Linked DNA regions of Arabidopsis thaliana. The protein of the gene in region 1 interacts with the protein of each later gene in a pairwise test. Each region holds a gene or a part of one and is shown in the gene's direction. Other genes may lie near its edges. The genes, in order: PHE1, AGL28, AGL97 and AGL62.

Region 1 (3,991 bases):
ATTTGTTTTCTTCATTTTCTTCCAATGTTTATTACTCCACAAGAAAACTCCCAAGCCTTTGCTCACGAACTGGCCGGCCCTTGGGATGCTTCCGGGTCTACTCCTCCAAGTGCCTCGTATCTACGACTGGATCACCGAGGTTCTTGAGGCGACAGATATGACGTTTTGTTTCAAAGGTCCATGTCTTAGCGGAATGGACATCTTGCTTACTGTTGATCCGGTGAATATCCACTACATTCTAAGCTCAAATTTTGCTAACTACCCCAAAGGAATGGAGTTCAAGAAGATCTTCGAAGTCGTGGGTGATTCAATTTTCAACGTTGACTCGGGTTTGTGGGAGGATATGAGGAACTCGTCTCATGCCATTTTTAGTAATCAAGATTTCCAAATGTTCTGGGTGAGTACAAGTGTAAGAAAATTAAGGCAAGGGCTTGTTCCTATTCTTGAAAACGCAGCTGATAAAAATATCCTTGTCGACTTGCAAGATTTGTTCCAGAGATTCTTGTTTGATACATCTTTGATTTTGATGACCGGGTATGATCCAAAATGTTTATCCGTTGAAATGCCTAAGGTTGAGTTCGGTGACGCGGTCGATGGTGTTTCTGACGGGGTTTTCTATAGACATGTTAAGCCGGTTTTCTTGTGGAGGCTCCAATATTTGATTGGTGTAGGAGTAGAGAAAAGATTGAAAAGAGGTCTAGCGGTATTCGATCAACTACTCGAGAAGATCATAACGGCTAAACGAGAGGAGATCAATAGTCATGGGACTCATCATCCCTCAAGAGGAGAGGCCATAGACGTGTTGACATACTACATGACTATGGACACGACCAAATATAAGTACTTGGAACCAAGTGATGATAGATTCATCAAAGACACTATTTTGGGTTTCTTGATAGCGGCAAGAGATACAACAAGTTCAGCACTCACTTGGTTCTTCTGGCTTATGTCCAAGAACCCTGAGGCAATAAACAAGATCCGACAAGAGGTTAACAAGAAGATGCCGAGGTTTGATCCCGCAGATTTAGAAAAGCTCGTGTATCTACACGGTGCCGTGTGTGAGACGCTAAGGTTATACCCACCAGTTCCATTTAACCACAAGTCACCGGCAAAGCCAGACGTACTTCCAAGTGGGCATAGAGTAGATGAGAAATGGAAGATTGTCATATCTATGTATGCATTAGGGAGGATGAAATCTGTTTGGGGAGATGACGCAGAAGATTTCAGACCAGAGAGATGGATTTCAGACAGTGGAAGGTTAAAACATGAACCTTCATATAAGTTCTTGGCGTTTAACGCCGGTCCAAGAGCTTGCTTGGGGAAAAAGTTAACGTTCTTACAGATGAAGACAGTGGCTGCGGAAATCATACGAAACTATGACATCAAGGTCGTTGAAGGGCACAAAACCGAACCAGTTCCTTCTGTTCTTTTTCGTATGCAACATGGTCTCAAAGTTAATATCACTAGGATCTAGTGATAGTTTTTGTATTTTTTTTGCTGTTAAAGATTTCAATAAAACATGCATGTTTACTCATGCTTAGACTTATTTTGCAAACACGTCTTTAATTTGTATCAGTCATTTGCCTTATAAGAGTCTCTATTTCATAATAACATCACGGTTTTACAATAGCATGTGCTCACATTTTGTGGTCTTTAGAATCTGATGTTTAGTTACTAATATTTTTTTTGGCAGCTATGGTTTGTATTATTGGACCCTTCCCCACAGTTATAACACCCAAAATCGATAACACACATAATAGCATGTGTCTTAACGAAACAAAAAAAATAAAATAACATTACTTTCACTGTTTAGCCATAACATTACTTTCTATCCAACTGATATTACATGTATTTTAAATTATTTATTAATTATGTTTATATAAACTATTAACATATAGAAAAAATTTAGAGATTGAAGAAATATCTTAAATTACCTTTGATGTAATTTGTTTTCCTTTCAATGGACTTCCTAAATAAAGTATAAATCTCATTAGATATGTGATACAACTGTTTTCCTATATATCTTGTTTTTATATATGCCCCCCAAAAGGTAAAATATCTATATGGGCTGTCTCTAAAGATAAATGATTATCACTTTACCATCAATCACATGCCTACACGTAAGGGTGAAACTAATACAAATCCTGAAAAATTAGTAAAATAAAAAATCAATTAATCATATCCAGCAAAGCAATAAAAAATCTATTGACTCGAAAATTGACTATATAAACCATCCTCCTCATGCTAACAAGACAAAGCAAAATACACAAAAGAAAAAGATAAGAGATATGAGGGGGAAGATGAAGTTATCGTTCATAGAAAATGATTCAGTGAGGAAAACAACATTCACCAAAAGGAAGAAAGGGATGCTGAAGAAATTCAACGAGCTAGTAACTCTATGTGGTGTTGACGCATGTGCGGTCATCCGTAGCCCGTACAACTCGATCCAGGAGCCTTGGCCATCAAGGGAAGGCGTTGAAGAAGTGATGTCGAAGTTTATGGAGTTTTCGGTGTTGGACCGGACCAAGAAGATGGTGGATCAAGAGACGTTTTTACGTCAAAGGATCGCCAAAGAAACAGAACGTCTCCAGAAGCTACGTGATGAGAACCGTAATTCTCAGATTCGAGATTTAATGTTTGGTTGTCTCAAAGGAGAGGTGGACGTGTCTCATCTTCATGGAAGAGATCTTCTTGATTTGAATGTATTTCTTAACAAGTATCTCAATGGTGTTATTCGTAGGGTTGAGATCCTTAAGGAGAACGGTGAGTCTTCTTCATCTGTACCTCCTCCTATTGGTGTAGCTCCTACTGTTGTGGATGCATCTGTCCCAATCGGTTTTGATGGTCGTATGATTCAAGATCAAAACCAAAATCAGCAAGAGCCGGTTCAATTCCAATACCAGGCTCTTTATGATTTTTATGATCAGATTCCAAAGAAACTTCATGATTTTAACATGAAAATGAATATAGATCCAAATCAGAGTATGAATTTGGATCTTAATGATGGAGAGGACGAGGGCATTCCTTGCATGGACAACAACAACTACCACCCCGAAATCGATTGTCTCGCTACCGTCACCACTGCCCCCACTGATGTTTGTGCTCCTAACATCATCAATGATCTCTAGTCGAAGGGATGTATTTCGAGTGAAGTGGTTGATCATCTGCATCTTTTGATTTTTCCATTTCAGAAAATAAAATTTATGTGATGTTTTTTTTTATTATTGTACTACAGTTAAAGGTTTTGCCTTTAAGTTCATTTCCGTTGATGTATTTGCCTGAAAAGGTTTAGTTCAATTTGAATAATTTTAATCATTACAAAATAAAGAGTTTTCAGTATCTTTAGAAGAAACAAATCTTTAGATATGATGTCATTAAAAACCCTATAATATCTAAAATAGCTTTGATTAAGTCAACTTTCTTTGTTTTGCCTATATATATGCTATGGCTATGTCATGTTTTCGTCTTACTTATATTTGAACTAAAATGATTATGAATGTTATTGCCATATTTTTGTTGGATTCAAATGTTGATCACAAAAAAGAAAGGATTTCAATTTTGTGTACCATGCTATTTCAAGATGTTTCTAGCAAATTCTCAACTACGTAGTTTAGGTGACCACTTGTGAGACCTTTGCATACTTTGGCACACATAATTTTCTAATGCATACCTCATCTATGAGTCGAGAAGACGTCCCATGGGAATAAAAAAATCGAAGACAAAAGTACATATATAGTGCTGACCATTGTGGATCTCCTGATGTACATACTCAGCCGTAATTGGTTTTAACTTCAGTAGCTTCTGCCACGTTTTGGAACCTAGAGTAGAATCCTTACCATCCTAACAGATAATATATTGTCGGAACCGCCCATAATAAACCCCCACGAAGTTAGTAGTTTCCAAATTAAGCTTAAGCTAAACAACCGTGACACATGAATACGTTGGAAATGAAGCCCTCATTCCTTTTTAGGAATACACGCTTCTTTCAACA
Region 2 (3,975 bases), about 24 Mb from region 1:
GAATGAGCTGTCTTTTTGAGTTCCTGTCTGAGTGTAATTGCATGTGTGGTGACGGTGAGAGAAGGTTACCCGAAATGTCTATTTTACCCTTTTATGGAAAGTGGAAGATAGTAGAGTCTTTTATATAGTTTTGAGGAGTTTTTTGGTAATAAATCGATGTCGATAGCCGTTGGGGTGGTATGATAAGGTACGGTTCAGTGCAATTAACCAATCTGTGGATTACACATTGGTTAGTTTTTCGTTCTTGTTTTGACTATAATTGAACCTTGACGTTTGATTATTTAATTGCAAATTTTATATGGATATAAACATACTCATGGAATAATTATTGAGTTTACTTTATGAGAAACTAATCACTTTTGTTATGGGAACATGAGTGCACCAAAAAATCATTTGTTTGCTTCTGATACACATTATTATTGGTTTGTTCATAAAAAATATTTGTTATATATATAGGAAGAACATTTTTTTTTGTTTATGTCACATTAACACACAAATCGGATTTCTCATATCATATATGCAGTAAGTAGATAAAAAGACTGAAACTGCAAGTCAAGGTGATGAAGAGCCTGATTATCCTGAAAGTCAATGTTATGAGTAATGTTGTATTGTTACAGTTTTAATGGTGGATAAAAAAATTGTATCTTTGACACGATGGATTGTGTAGATCATTCGTTGAAACTTCGGAGGTCAAATGTATTACTATTTCATAATATTTGTGTCTTCAAAAAGTTTGGTTGGCTCTTAAAAGTAGAGCAATTAATGAGAGAATAATATTTAGTGTGGCCACGTATAATCTAGGTTTCCTCCTAAAAAGGGTTTAGGTGGGGCTAAAAGAGAAAACCCATTATTGCTCCAAACAAGTAAATTTTGTAGTATGCCAATAAGTCAATGATCAGCGGCGATGGTTGGTTTAGACTTTAGACTTTAGAGTCGTTTGGAAGTGCAAGCTTATGATATGTGGTATTTGGGCTTTTTTAAAAGTAGATTCTGAGCTAATAAATGTTGTCTTTTGCATTTGGATATTTCATTACCTGGGCTAGAATTTGTTTTTGTACAAACTCTAGCTTATAGAATCTTACTTAGTTTTCCCTAATCAGTTTTAGTTTGGTTCCTTGTTGGGCTTAAGACTTGTAATCTATATGCTAGAATCTTTTACATACTTGACTATTGAATACCATTACCGACCAAAAAAAGGAACCCAATCAGATTTGATTCCCACCGATAAATTGTAACAAGAAGGAAAAAGATATAACAAGAAACATGAGAAGTGTATACATTTTTAAAAATTCGTTTTTCAGGAGAGGTATATAGGTTATAGATTATCAATATATCATCATCATGTATAACAAGCAATTAGAGGCAGAGAAACATAGCCCATTAGGTAACGATCATGGGCTATATTAATCACGGCCCAAAACAAATTGTGTAAAAGTATACTATATTCAGAGATGATATAACAAATTGTGTATCACATATTAAATCTAATTTAATTATCACAACTTTTTTTTTGAAAAGTCAGCGATCAATTAAAATATCAAAACAACTATTTACTTAAATAAAATCTTGGAAAGTCGGACATAAAATTTCAATCATGTCATTTATCAACTTTCAATCATATTATTTTGTCAATTTGCTCTATAAAAACAAAAGTAAGTTGGACATAATATTTCATATATACACTATATGAATTTTATATAAAAAATTTGAACACTTAAAATAAATATAAAAGATCAAAAAGGATATTGATTATAGAAAAATAGTGGAAAATAAACACATGGAAAATATTTTTTAAGAAAATTGTGGATATCCTTCCCATATTTTAAAAAATTGACAGGCTGTAAACTTTAAAAAATGATAATGTTGGAGATAAAATAGAATATTGTATACCTTTTATTGACGAAATTTGTAAACCAATATATACTCCTAGAGTGGTAATTCATAATTTTGTTTCTTATAAATCACTATAGAAAAAAATATTTTCTTTCAATGCTCAAAACATATTTTGTAAAATTTAGTCTATAAATACAAATACCTATTATCTCTAATATAATCAACTCGCTTTTCTTTTTCTGTTCAAAACATCTCGAAAATGGCGAGAAAGAATCTTGGTCGTAGAAAAATAGAGTTGGTAAAAATGACCAACGAATCAAACCTTCAAGTTACGTTTTCAAAAAGAAGATCTGGTCTTTTCAAAAAAGGCAGTGAACTTTGCACCTTATGTGACGCGGAAATTGCGATAATCGTGTTTTCACCCTCGGGAAAAGCATACTCTTTTGGTCATCCAAATGTTAACAAGTTACTTGACCACTCTTTAGGGCGTGTTATAAGACACAACAACACAAACTTTGCTGAAAGCCGCACAAAGCTCCGTATTCAAATGCTCAATGAGTCTTTAACTGAGGTAAGTTTTAAGTTTTGGCATTATCTAATCTTTATTTCTTCTCTCTTTTATTTTTCAATTTAGATAAAAAATTATTATATAAGTGTTTCACAATTTGTTTTTGATTTGTAAAAGAAATGGTAAACCTCCTTTGCATATTTATTTCCTCAACAAAGTAAATTAAGAATGAAAATTTTGGTGGGTTCAATTTTTGTTTAAGTCATAGTCATGGATTCACGGATTTTCTTTACACATTCATTATTCATGAAATTAATTGTTTAAAATACAATTTTATCTTAGGTGATGGCTGAAAAAGAAAAAGAACAAGAGACCAAGCAGTCAATAGTCCAAAATGAAAGAGAGAACAAGGACGCTGAGAAGTGGTGGAGGAACTCTCCAACAGAACTCAACTTAGCTCAATCAACTTCCATGAAATGTGATCTTGAAGCTTTGAAGAAGGAAGTTGATGAAAAAGTCGCTCAACTTCATCATAGAAACCTAAACTTCTATGTTGGAAGTTCTAGCAATGTTGCTGCTCCAGCAGCTGTTAGTGGTGGTAATATCTCCACAAACCATGGTTTCTTTGATCAAAACGGAAACTCTACTTCTGCTCCAACACTGCCGTTTGGATTTAATGTTATGAATCGCACACCAGCTGGGTACAACAGTTACCAACTCCAAAACCAGGAGGTTAAACAAGTCCATCCTCAGTATTGGGCTCGTTACTATTAGTCTATCTCTCTCGTTGTGTGACTTTTTAAGTCTCCAATAGTTTGTTCTGCTTTTTGTTTTGTTTTTGTTTGTTGTTGTTGTTGTTGTCGGGCTTTTAATTAAGTCTCGAGTCAACTAGTTTCTTGTTTCTTTTCGTTATACTTTGTCTTGTAGCTTTATATCATTTTCTTGTGGAATATGAGTAAGCTATATGAAGTTTCATATTATGTCATTAGTCCATTCCGTATAAAAACCTAAGCAACAACTGAATATTACAAAAAAGCTAGTGACTTTCTACACAGGCTTTATCTGAAGTAATTTTCAAAACTAGTTATGTCATTAGTCCATTCCGTATAAAAACCTAAGCAACAACTGAATATTACAAAAAAGCTAGTGACTTTCTACACAGGCTTTATCTGTCTTCTAAGACGTTCTAAACTATTGAGACTTATATGTACAACCGGTTCATTCATTCATATCCCATGAGACTACCATTAGAGACTTCTCTCTATCGTTTAGTTCTAACTGGCGTTGTAAGATGATATCAACTTCCGCTGTAATAAACAGAGAAAATTTGTTTACTCTTCAATATTCTCAAGAGTCAAAATGTAACAAAGAGTCGACTAGCTCTTACTTGTTCATCAAACTCGGGACTCGTCAGGTTTACAGATAAATTTTTCATCAGTAAGAGAACCTGTTGAACAAAAAACCGTGTAAACGTTAGTTTTCAAATCAAGACATGTTCATGTGCAGAGTTATTGGTTTTCATACCGTCTCAAGATTTATTGGATCCATTTCCTTTAATCTCTTGACATGACCTGTTGTTTTAGGATCAAACACACTTCCTATAAAATTGTAAACTTCAGCGAAATTTGGCGCCA
Region 3 (3,802 bases), 7.0 Mb from region 1:
ATCCTTGATTGAATCTGAAAAAGAAGAAGAAGAATCCATGAGAAGAAGAAGATGAAGAACAGAGGAAGAAGAAGATGATGTCGTGAAGAGAAGAGTCAAAGGAAGAGAAGAAAGTCAACAAACATATGGGCTTTGTGTTTTGTAATATGGTTGTAATGGGCTGAAGATGAATTAGGCCCAAGTATGTTTAGTTAAAGAGTGTTGTGTTGTAAGTCTAAGTTAGAGTAGAAGAGTGAATCAAGGAGTGAGAGTTCCAATGTATGTAGAAGTAGGTCTTGTGTAAGAGCCATCATTAGGTCTAAGTGCAAGTGTGCAAGTGTGTGTGTGTCTCAAGTAGAAGTAGTTTATGTATGTGTGTCCTTGTGTTGTGTAAGAGTAACCAAGTAATTAACAATGTAGTCTTTGGAGGAAAACGCTTTTGTGTCTCTCTAGAACAAAGAATAAAATCTGTGTGAGAGACAAGAGAGCAAGAGATCTAACTAAAGTGGTTAGATATGTGAGAATTACAACACAATGTCATATATGTATACATCAGAATATTAAACCTACAAAACAAAAGTAGCTCTGGAAATCTCAATAATGTAGTCTCTTAGAAGGATCCACAAAGGCCACAGAGAAGAAAACATAATGCTTAATAACAAAGATGAACAATGTGGATTTTGCCAGAATATTTATGGCTGTGAGCTTGTTTCTTCAAGAAGTCTCTACCTTTTAACTTCTCAAAAATCAAGTTTCTTAAACAAGTCTTCAATGCTGAGGATGTCACAGAAGAAGTCTTCAACAAACCTGTAGCCATGTTTTGATCACAGAAGAATCAGTACTTATATGTTTCTAATTGATACAAGATTCTTCTCCAGCAAAACCCTGATTTCTTCTTCCAAATCTCACTTGTTCTTCTTTCAGAATCTTCCATACGAATCTTTGATTCTGTTGTAATTCTCACAATCTCTCTATTTCTCACACTCCTTTACGGTTTCATTGTCTTTAGAGAGAAAGAACAAAAACTATTTTCTTTTAATCTTCTACTTTGATAATATTCTTGGATACTCTTACACAACACAAACAACACATACATATAGTGGTTTTGCTCCACTTGGTAGACTACACACACTTAGACTCTAGACCACATCATTGTCCTAAGACTTACATCATCCACTCTACTATGTTGGAACTCCAACACCTTAATTCACTCTCTTAGTTTACTTTAGTTGTCACAACCTCTTCTTGTTGGACCTTAACTAGACAACTTGTACAAAACACTTATTCGTATGGGCCTTATCTCATTACCTATGACCCAACACACAAAACACAAACCCATTTGGTTTGTTGACTTTCTTCTCTTCCTTTGACTCCTCTCTTCACGACGTCTCTTCTCCGCCATCGTCTTCTTCTTCCGTTGCTTCTTCCTTTGTTCTTCATCTTCTTCTTCTCACCAAGCTTGTTATTCTTGTAGGATTTAGTTTAGGATACTCAATTCCAACAGATTCTCGTAATCTCCATATCTAGATCCTCTTCCGAATCCGTAATCACCAATTCACCATTATCAACCAAAAGCTTGAGTTTTTGTTGTGTATCGGACATTGATTCACCAGCATAAAACAGAGATTCCATACTAGGGTTTGAGATTGTATTCTTCAATACTGTGTCGTCTTCTTCTTCCTCACAAAGTTTGCAATTTTGGTTTTTGGATTCGTAACGGTCACAAAGAGAAGAAGAGAGGCTCCTAAATATTTTGTTGTATTGACGCTTTTACCCTTCATAACGGTCTTATTTTATTGACCGTTGACCAAACCGGTTAAAGGAAGAATTTGCATGTTGGTTTACTCGTCCTCCTTCGCTTATTAGACAATCAGTAGTAAACAAATTCACCGACTAAACCAAAAATTCCACTAAATACAGATTCGGTTTAACTAAACCGGTCTTTGTTTGTATTAGATGGTTTTGAGTAATTTACTTTTAGAAAAGGAAACAGTTTTAATTTTTCGTTTAATTACCGATTAGGGTATTATCAGTAAAAAAGGAAATCAAAATCGATGTTGTTTCAGGTGGTTTTGTGTACTAATTACTTTCAAAAAAGGAAAACAAGTTTATTTAGTCGTTTAATTACTGATTAGCAATTATCAGAAAAAGGAAATAACATGGATTAATTAGAAAACGAGTTAGGGCTACTAAGTCTATATATATATCTATCTGATTAGAACGAGAGTGAGTCCATTATCATATTCTTCTTTCGCAACAAGCGGCAGCACACAAAACTCTCAAGTCTTGTCTCGTTCTCTTTTGTTTGTGAAACTGAGAAAAAAAACAGAATGGGTGGCGTGAAGAGGAAGATTGCTATAGAGAAGATACAGAACAAAAATCCACGAGCGGTTTCATTCTCCAAACGTCGTAAGGGTCTGTATAGCAAAGCTTCTGAACTTTGTCTTCTCTCGGACGCAGAGATTGCGATCATAGCGACTCCTGTTTCTTCTAATTCCAACGCCGCTTTCTACAGTTTTGGCCACTCCTCTGTTGATAATGTCGTCGCTGCTTTTCTCGCCAATCAGCGTCCTTGTGATGAAAGGTTTTGGTGGGAAGATGAGAGTCTTCTAAAATCAGAGAATCTGGAGGAGTTGAGAGAGGCGATGGATTCAATGTCGACTATGTTGCGAGATCTCAAGGAGTTGGAGAAGCAAAGAGATCATCAAACGCAAACCCTAATTCATCAGCCGTGTTCTGCAAGGGTTTGCATTCAAGATTATGTAACTGTGAATTTCGATGGGTTTAACACGGAAGAGCAAACCCTAGCGGTTTCTGACAATAGTAACAACAACGGTTTACTTGGAAACTTGGATGAGTGCAATGAAGATTTTGATGATCTCGATCAAATCTTCGATACGGTGACAAACTCTGAATTTTTATCGGTGAATTTGGAGATGGATGATGTAACTGTGAATTCTGAAGGGAACACGGAAGAGCAAACCCTAGCGGTTTCTGACAATAGCAACAACAACGGTTTACTTGGAAACTTGGATGAGTGCAATGAAGATTTTGATGATCTCGATCAAATCATTGAGTATTTGACAAGCTCTGAAGCTTTATCCATGAATTTAAAGATGGATGATGTCTGATGCATGCCTCTATGGTGACAATTTGTGTTTATGTTGAAATTGGATCCTTGATTTAAGTATTGCTTCGGTTTAGTATATCTTTGTATGTCTTTTATCAGCTTATGACTTTATTTGATCTGCGTGATATTTTCGTATATCTAACCAAAACATAAGAGCATCCCCAACCACAATACACCAAATTTTAACACCAAATTTGATATTTTGGTGTTTCAATTGTTTTATCATCTCCAACCATAACACCAATTTCACACTAAAAATATTACTTTTTATTATAATATTATTAAACTTAAGATTTTCTTTATTTTTTTAATAGTTTGATATACATAACATATTTCATAACTAAATTATTTTAACTTAATTAATATAAGATTACAATCGATAAATTGAAAATAACAAAAAAAAATTACATTGTACTAATTCTCAGAATTAGTATATACGGACCACAAGTGTTCAATTAATGCATTTCGAAGTTTAATATGAGCTTCACGGTCTTTGATTTTCCTGTGTCGAGCTAAAAATTCTTGAAATCGACCATCATCGATCGTCTCCCGCCGTTTCATCTTCTAGAGTTGGGACCTCGGCTCTTTCTTCAATACTTGCATCAAAATCACGTTCATCCTCTATGTCATATTATGCATTATGATACAAGTAGTTATAATATCATGTAACACTTTCTTACTCCATAAACGTGT
Region 4 (5,255 bases), on another chromosome or scaffold:
TAAGTGGAGCAAAAAGCAACTTGAGATTAACTTTTTAAAAGATATAGCACAAAAATAATTAATCAAAATATATAATTTATAATTTTCTAAATCTTGGTGAAAAACTCAGGAATTCATTATTTTAGGGAGTAATAATATAAAATATTGTATGATTTTCTTCTATATGATTTATTAATTATTTTAATTGGAATTGCATCTCGGCAATGACACAACGATGATTCTAGCAAATACCGCTAGGTTATTAGTCATGGTCTAAAGACTTCAATATTTTATATTATTTTTTTACATTTTATTTGATTAAACTAAAACCATTTGTATTTTTATTTTACATACTAATAAATATGTTACCAAAGAGTATAAAAGGTCTTTCAATTATGTGTATATATTAGTGAATTTTTCTAATCCTTTGGCAGTTTTCTATAAATAATATTTCTTAAAGTACGCAAATATGTTTATATAGCAAACAGTTCTCAAAAATATCACACTTAAGTTTGATCTTTCAAAAATACTACTTAAGTTTTTGGTTTTCCAAAAATATCACAAAACTAAATTAAATTTTCAACTTTCAAATCCTAACCTTAAACACTAAAATCCTACCCTTAAAAACTACACCCTAAATCTAAAATAGGTAACCCAAACCTAAAATTTTAAATTTTGAACTCTTGGACATCAATTTGTTGTTTTGTGGTATTTTTGAAAAACAAATTTTTTTTGGTAGTATCTTTGAAATATTAAACTAATAGTGACATTTTTGGCAACAAAACTTAAAAAATGTGGTATTTTGAAGAATTTATCTTATATAACAAATATACAAATTAATAATTACTGCAAAAGTAGTTTGTCTCGTCTAAATTTTATGGATTATATTTGTAGAAAATTATTGTTTCCTTTTTTAAATTATTTGGTATATTAACTATTTAAAAGTTTCATAAATAAGAATTTTAAGATATTTAGTTCAATCACATATTTCTAAAGATCTCATATATATTTATTATTTTATGATATCAGTATAACTATATTTACCATAATATTTATAACTCTAAAATCAATTTCAGAAAATATACCAATTAACTATCAAAAATAATAAGTTAACAAAAATCATTGTACCTCAGATAAAACTTTAATACTGTAATCAATACTGAAAGTTTTTAAGATTAATCAATTCTATCTAGTTCAGTATTATGATAAGATTCTTTTAAAGATCACTATTTTATGCATACTTTAATAAACATGCCCGTATTATATTATCATCGGTAAAATAATTTTAATTGGAGATATTATCTGAAACAACTACCATTTCACTATTTTTGGATGACATTTACATTCTACATAGATAAGTTGAATATTTCATATTAATTACTATATAATTGATATTTTGTGTAATTTAAGAGAATCTGGCTTCAAATTATCAAAAAATAATAAAGTCATTCAAATAATTTTTATCAATCCATCAAATGAGATAGGGGAGCTATAAATATTATTGGAAATAAGATATCACCATTTTATCATAAATATATGTTATTATCAGTAACAAATTTATCGCCAATAACAATAGAGGAATGTATTCCATTATTATTTTAAAAACAGAGTTAGTAAGTAATGTAACGGCATATATCTATTGTCAATTTATCAGAAATAATAATGAATTTGGAATGGTCTTCATATTCTATATAACGGTCCAAACAAAATAATTCTATCTTAAAGCTCTCAAAATTATAGTGTTATCTCATGGTATCCGTTTTTGACGATTTTCATTTTTTCTGTATTTATCACATAAATAACTAAGTTTTCTATATTCATAAAGGAACATTATTTAGTGCAAAATTCATAAACTCATTTCATCCGATAAACAATATATCGAATGTTTTTCCTTGAATCTAATCTTTTATAATATACTCTCTTAAAATAAATATATAAATAAACTATTTTTAGATGATAATTACATCATATAAAGGTTAGTGTGTATATATATATAAAGAGAGAAGGATATATGTGTATGGAACACAAAGAAATAGTTCATAGTCATGCCGGGCTTAATCATATATATATCTCAAACCTATCACAATTGTGGCCGAGTTGCTAGAATCACATAACAATTTTATCATAAATATTTTTCATTAGTGATAACAAATCAATCGCTAATAACGTAAGAAAAATATGTTCTATCTAAAAAGTAGCAAAGAATATGATTGCATAAATAATGTAACGGAGTATATTTGTTACAACAATTGCTAAAAAAATCATACAATCATTTTATCATAAATAGTTTTCATTATCGATAATAGATCAATCACCAATAACGAGAGAATACATAAGAAGACCCTTTAACAAAAAAAAACGAGAGAATACATGTTTTACTTTAGAAAATAGCGACAAATAATTTCAGATAACAATATAACGATTTTTTAATATATTAAAATATGAGATTAAGTTTAGAATATTAAACAATTAACGAAAATGATGTATCAGTAAATCAAAAACATATTGACCATATTACGCTTGTTACTTGTTAGTAATTTTTTTTACGCCGCCATTTTTGTTGCTATATTTAAAAAAAATATTCCAATAATATTACTATTAGATATGAAAAGATCACTACTAATTAAAGGTGGATCTTTCTGGCAGATTTGGATACATTGTACAAATGAAATGAGAAGATAATAGTCAAATAAATTTGTATTGCATACCATATATTGATTGAATATTAAGATTATGAAATGTTACAAAAATAGTAAAATTCAAATTCAAATAAAAATATAATAAATCAAAGTTGAAATTTACTCATAGACAACTCAAATATTAATTATTTGGTTTGTAATATTCTGCTATAAATACATGAGCATTTTCATTCTACAAACACCAATCCTATATTTTAGCTTCTCAAATATCACTAAAAATGGTGAAAAAAAGCAAAGGTCGTCAAAAAATAGAGATGGTCAAAATGAAAAATGAAAGTAACCTTCAAGTTACTTTTTCAAAAAGAAGATCTGGACTTTTCAAAAAGGCTAGTGAGCTTTGCACACTTTGTGGTGCAGAAGTGGCCATAGTTGTGTTCTCACCTGGTCGAAAAGTCTTTTCTTTTGGTCATCCAAATGTTGATTCTGTAATTGATCGATTCATAAACAATAACCCTCTACCTCCTCACCAACACAACAACATGCAACTTAGAGAAACTCGTCGAAATTCGATTGTTCAGGATCTGAATAATCATCTTACTCAGGTAATCTTACTCTTATTTTTAAGTATGATTAAAACAAAATAGTGTTTTCTATGAATCATAAAACCCAAATTTCTATGGTTAAATTCTTTTTTTATTTAATATATATAAGTAAAAGTTTTCGCAGGTGAATAAATAATATATAAAAAACATTAGACAGTCTTTTTCTCCATAACTAGAATAGATTTATATCCTAATAGTATGTTAGATAAAAATGCCGATGAAATGTTATAGAATCATATGGTATGAAAATTAATAATATTATTGGTGTTTTTATTTGTATATATATTTGCAGGTGTTGAGTCAATTAGAAACAGAGAAAAAGAAGTACGACGAGTTAAAGAAAATAAGAGAAAAGACAAAAGCCCTTGGGAATTGGTGGGAAGATCCCGTTGAGGAACTTGCGTTATCTCAACTCGAGGGGTTCAAAGGTAATCTTGAAAATTTGAAGAAAGTAGTTACAGTCGAAGCTTCCAGATTTTTTCAGGCAAATGTTCCAAACTTCTATGTGGGAAGTTCTAGTAATAATGCTGCTTTTGGGATTGATGATGGTAGTCATATCAACCCTGATATGGATCTCTTTAGCCAAAGAAGAATGATGGACATAAATGCCTTCAACTACAACCAGAACCAAATTCACCCTAATCATGCATTACCACCCTTTGGAAACAATGCTTATGGTATTAATGAAGGGTTTGTTCCAGAATACAATGTGAACTTCAGACCAGAGTATAACCCAAACCAAAACCAAATCCAAAACCAAAATCAAGTTCAAATCCAAATCCAAAACCAGAGTTTTAAGAGAGAAAACATCTCTGAATATGAACATCATCATGGTTATCCTCCCCAGTCTAGATCTGATTACTATTAACCCTTTGTTGTGTGATCCAACTTAAGTCTCTAGACAAAAAGTTGTGTGTTTAGGTTATCTTTATTTCTTCTTATTTATGTTTCTACATGTGTTGTTGTTGTTTTTCTTGTTCTTGTTTAAGTATTATGTTGTATTGTGTTGTTTCATTTCAAAATTATGTTATTGCTATATATAAATTATATGTGTCGGAAACAAATGCATTACGCCTCTGAAAATACTAGTCTGCCATGGTTACGTTTACGCATTTTGGGCAATTGCAGAATTTTAAACACAGAAAGGTAATAATCATAATCAATCATGTACTATTTTAAAATAAATTTGCAAAAAAGCATAATGAAAATTTCTGTGTGCACCATTTTTCAACTAAAATAGTACATACATTATCCCACATATTTTGGTACATTGTAAAAAATGAAATGACAGCATTACAATGGCTTTCCCTCTAATTTCATTCCTTATAATGATGAAATACAGATATTGTGAAATATTCCTAAAATGATAAAAATCTAATTCTAATATAGAAAATATAATAAAATTAATGTTAAATTTAAGGAAAATATAATAAAATTAAGGTTAACTTTTAGTTGAAAAAAAGGCTAAATCTATGTCACATCATTCTATTTAATTAATCCGTGCAGTATACTCTAATATTTATTTTCCTTAAAAAAGATTAAATCATCATCAAATATCTAGTATGTATTAGATATCAATCTAAAAATAAATAAAAAAATTGTAAGAACAATACAAGAGTATCCACATATGTAAGAACTTAAGAAATGAAATTTTCAAAATCAAGCAAAATACTTCAAAACTAATATATATATTGTAATTTTGAAAACCTTAAAATCCAATGGCATGCTTTACACATCCCATAAACTCACATATCTCTCGAGTAAAACGGTACACATGAGACATCCATGGAGACCAGAAGAAACACAAACAAACACATAAATGGATTCAAAGACAAAGATAAAGTTGAAGTTCTTTTGTGAGCAAAACACACTTTAAAACATAGGAAATAAGCTTCTTTATGGGTATCAAACCCTAGTGATTGTAGGAGAAGAATCAGGCTGGCTCACAGAAGATGACTTTGATGCTTCCATCATGAGAGCAGCTTGCTCTAAACAACTCTTGTTATCGTCATTCGCATTCTCCACTTCCTCTTTC

Evidence for each region.
Region 2: the proteins of PHE1 (region 1) and AGL28 interact in a two-hybrid assay, tested with the Arabidopsis thaliana proteins (one large-scale study listed by BioGRID).
Region 3: the proteins of PHE1 (region 1) and AGL97 interact in a two-hybrid assay, tested with the Arabidopsis thaliana proteins (one large-scale study listed by BioGRID).
Region 4: the proteins of PHE1 (region 1) and AGL62 interact in a two-hybrid assay, tested with the Arabidopsis thaliana proteins (one large-scale study listed by BioGRID).

Annotation. Positions count from the first base shown.
Region 1 is NC_003070.9:24,265,618-24,269,608, reverse strand, and holds PHE1 (MADS-box transcription factor family protein), read left to right. Parts: upstream 1-2,272; 5' UTR 2,273-2,288; coding exon 2,289-3,128; 3' UTR 3,129-3,352; downstream 3,353-3,991. Other genes in the region: CYP96A3 (cytochrome P450, family 96, subfamily A, polypeptide 3), read left to right, coding at 1-1,474. UniProt on the Arabidopsis thaliana protein: Probable transcription factor involved in the development of gametophytes and seeds.
Region 2 is NC_003070.9:191,780-195,754, reverse strand, and holds AGL28 (AGAMOUS-like 28), read left to right. Parts: upstream 1-2,084; 5' UTR 2,085-2,092; coding exon 2,093-2,404; intron 2,405-2,683; coding exon 2,684-3,115; 3' UTR 3,116-3,121; downstream 3,122-3,975. Other genes in the region: ASG4 (Homeodomain-like superfamily protein), read right to left, coding at 3,696-3,788, 3,866-3,975. UniProt on the Arabidopsis thaliana protein: Probable transcription factor that may function as a floral promoter operating upstream of known floral activators in the autonomous pathway.
Region 3 is NC_003070.9:17,231,443-17,235,244, reverse strand, and holds AGL97 (AGAMOUS-like 97), read left to right. Parts: upstream 1-2,293; 5' UTR 2,294-2,309; coding exon 2,310-3,110; downstream 3,111-3,802. UniProt on the Arabidopsis thaliana protein: Putative transcription factor.
Region 4 is NC_003076.8:24,303,433-24,308,687, forward strand, and holds AGL62 (AGAMOUS-like 62), read left to right. Parts: upstream 1-1,948; 5' UTR 1,949-2,896; coding exon 2,897-3,220; intron 3,221-3,512; coding exon 3,513-4,088; 3' UTR 4,089-4,284; downstream 4,285-5,255. Other genes in the region: ARF4 (auxin response factor 4), read right to left, coding at 5,126-5,255.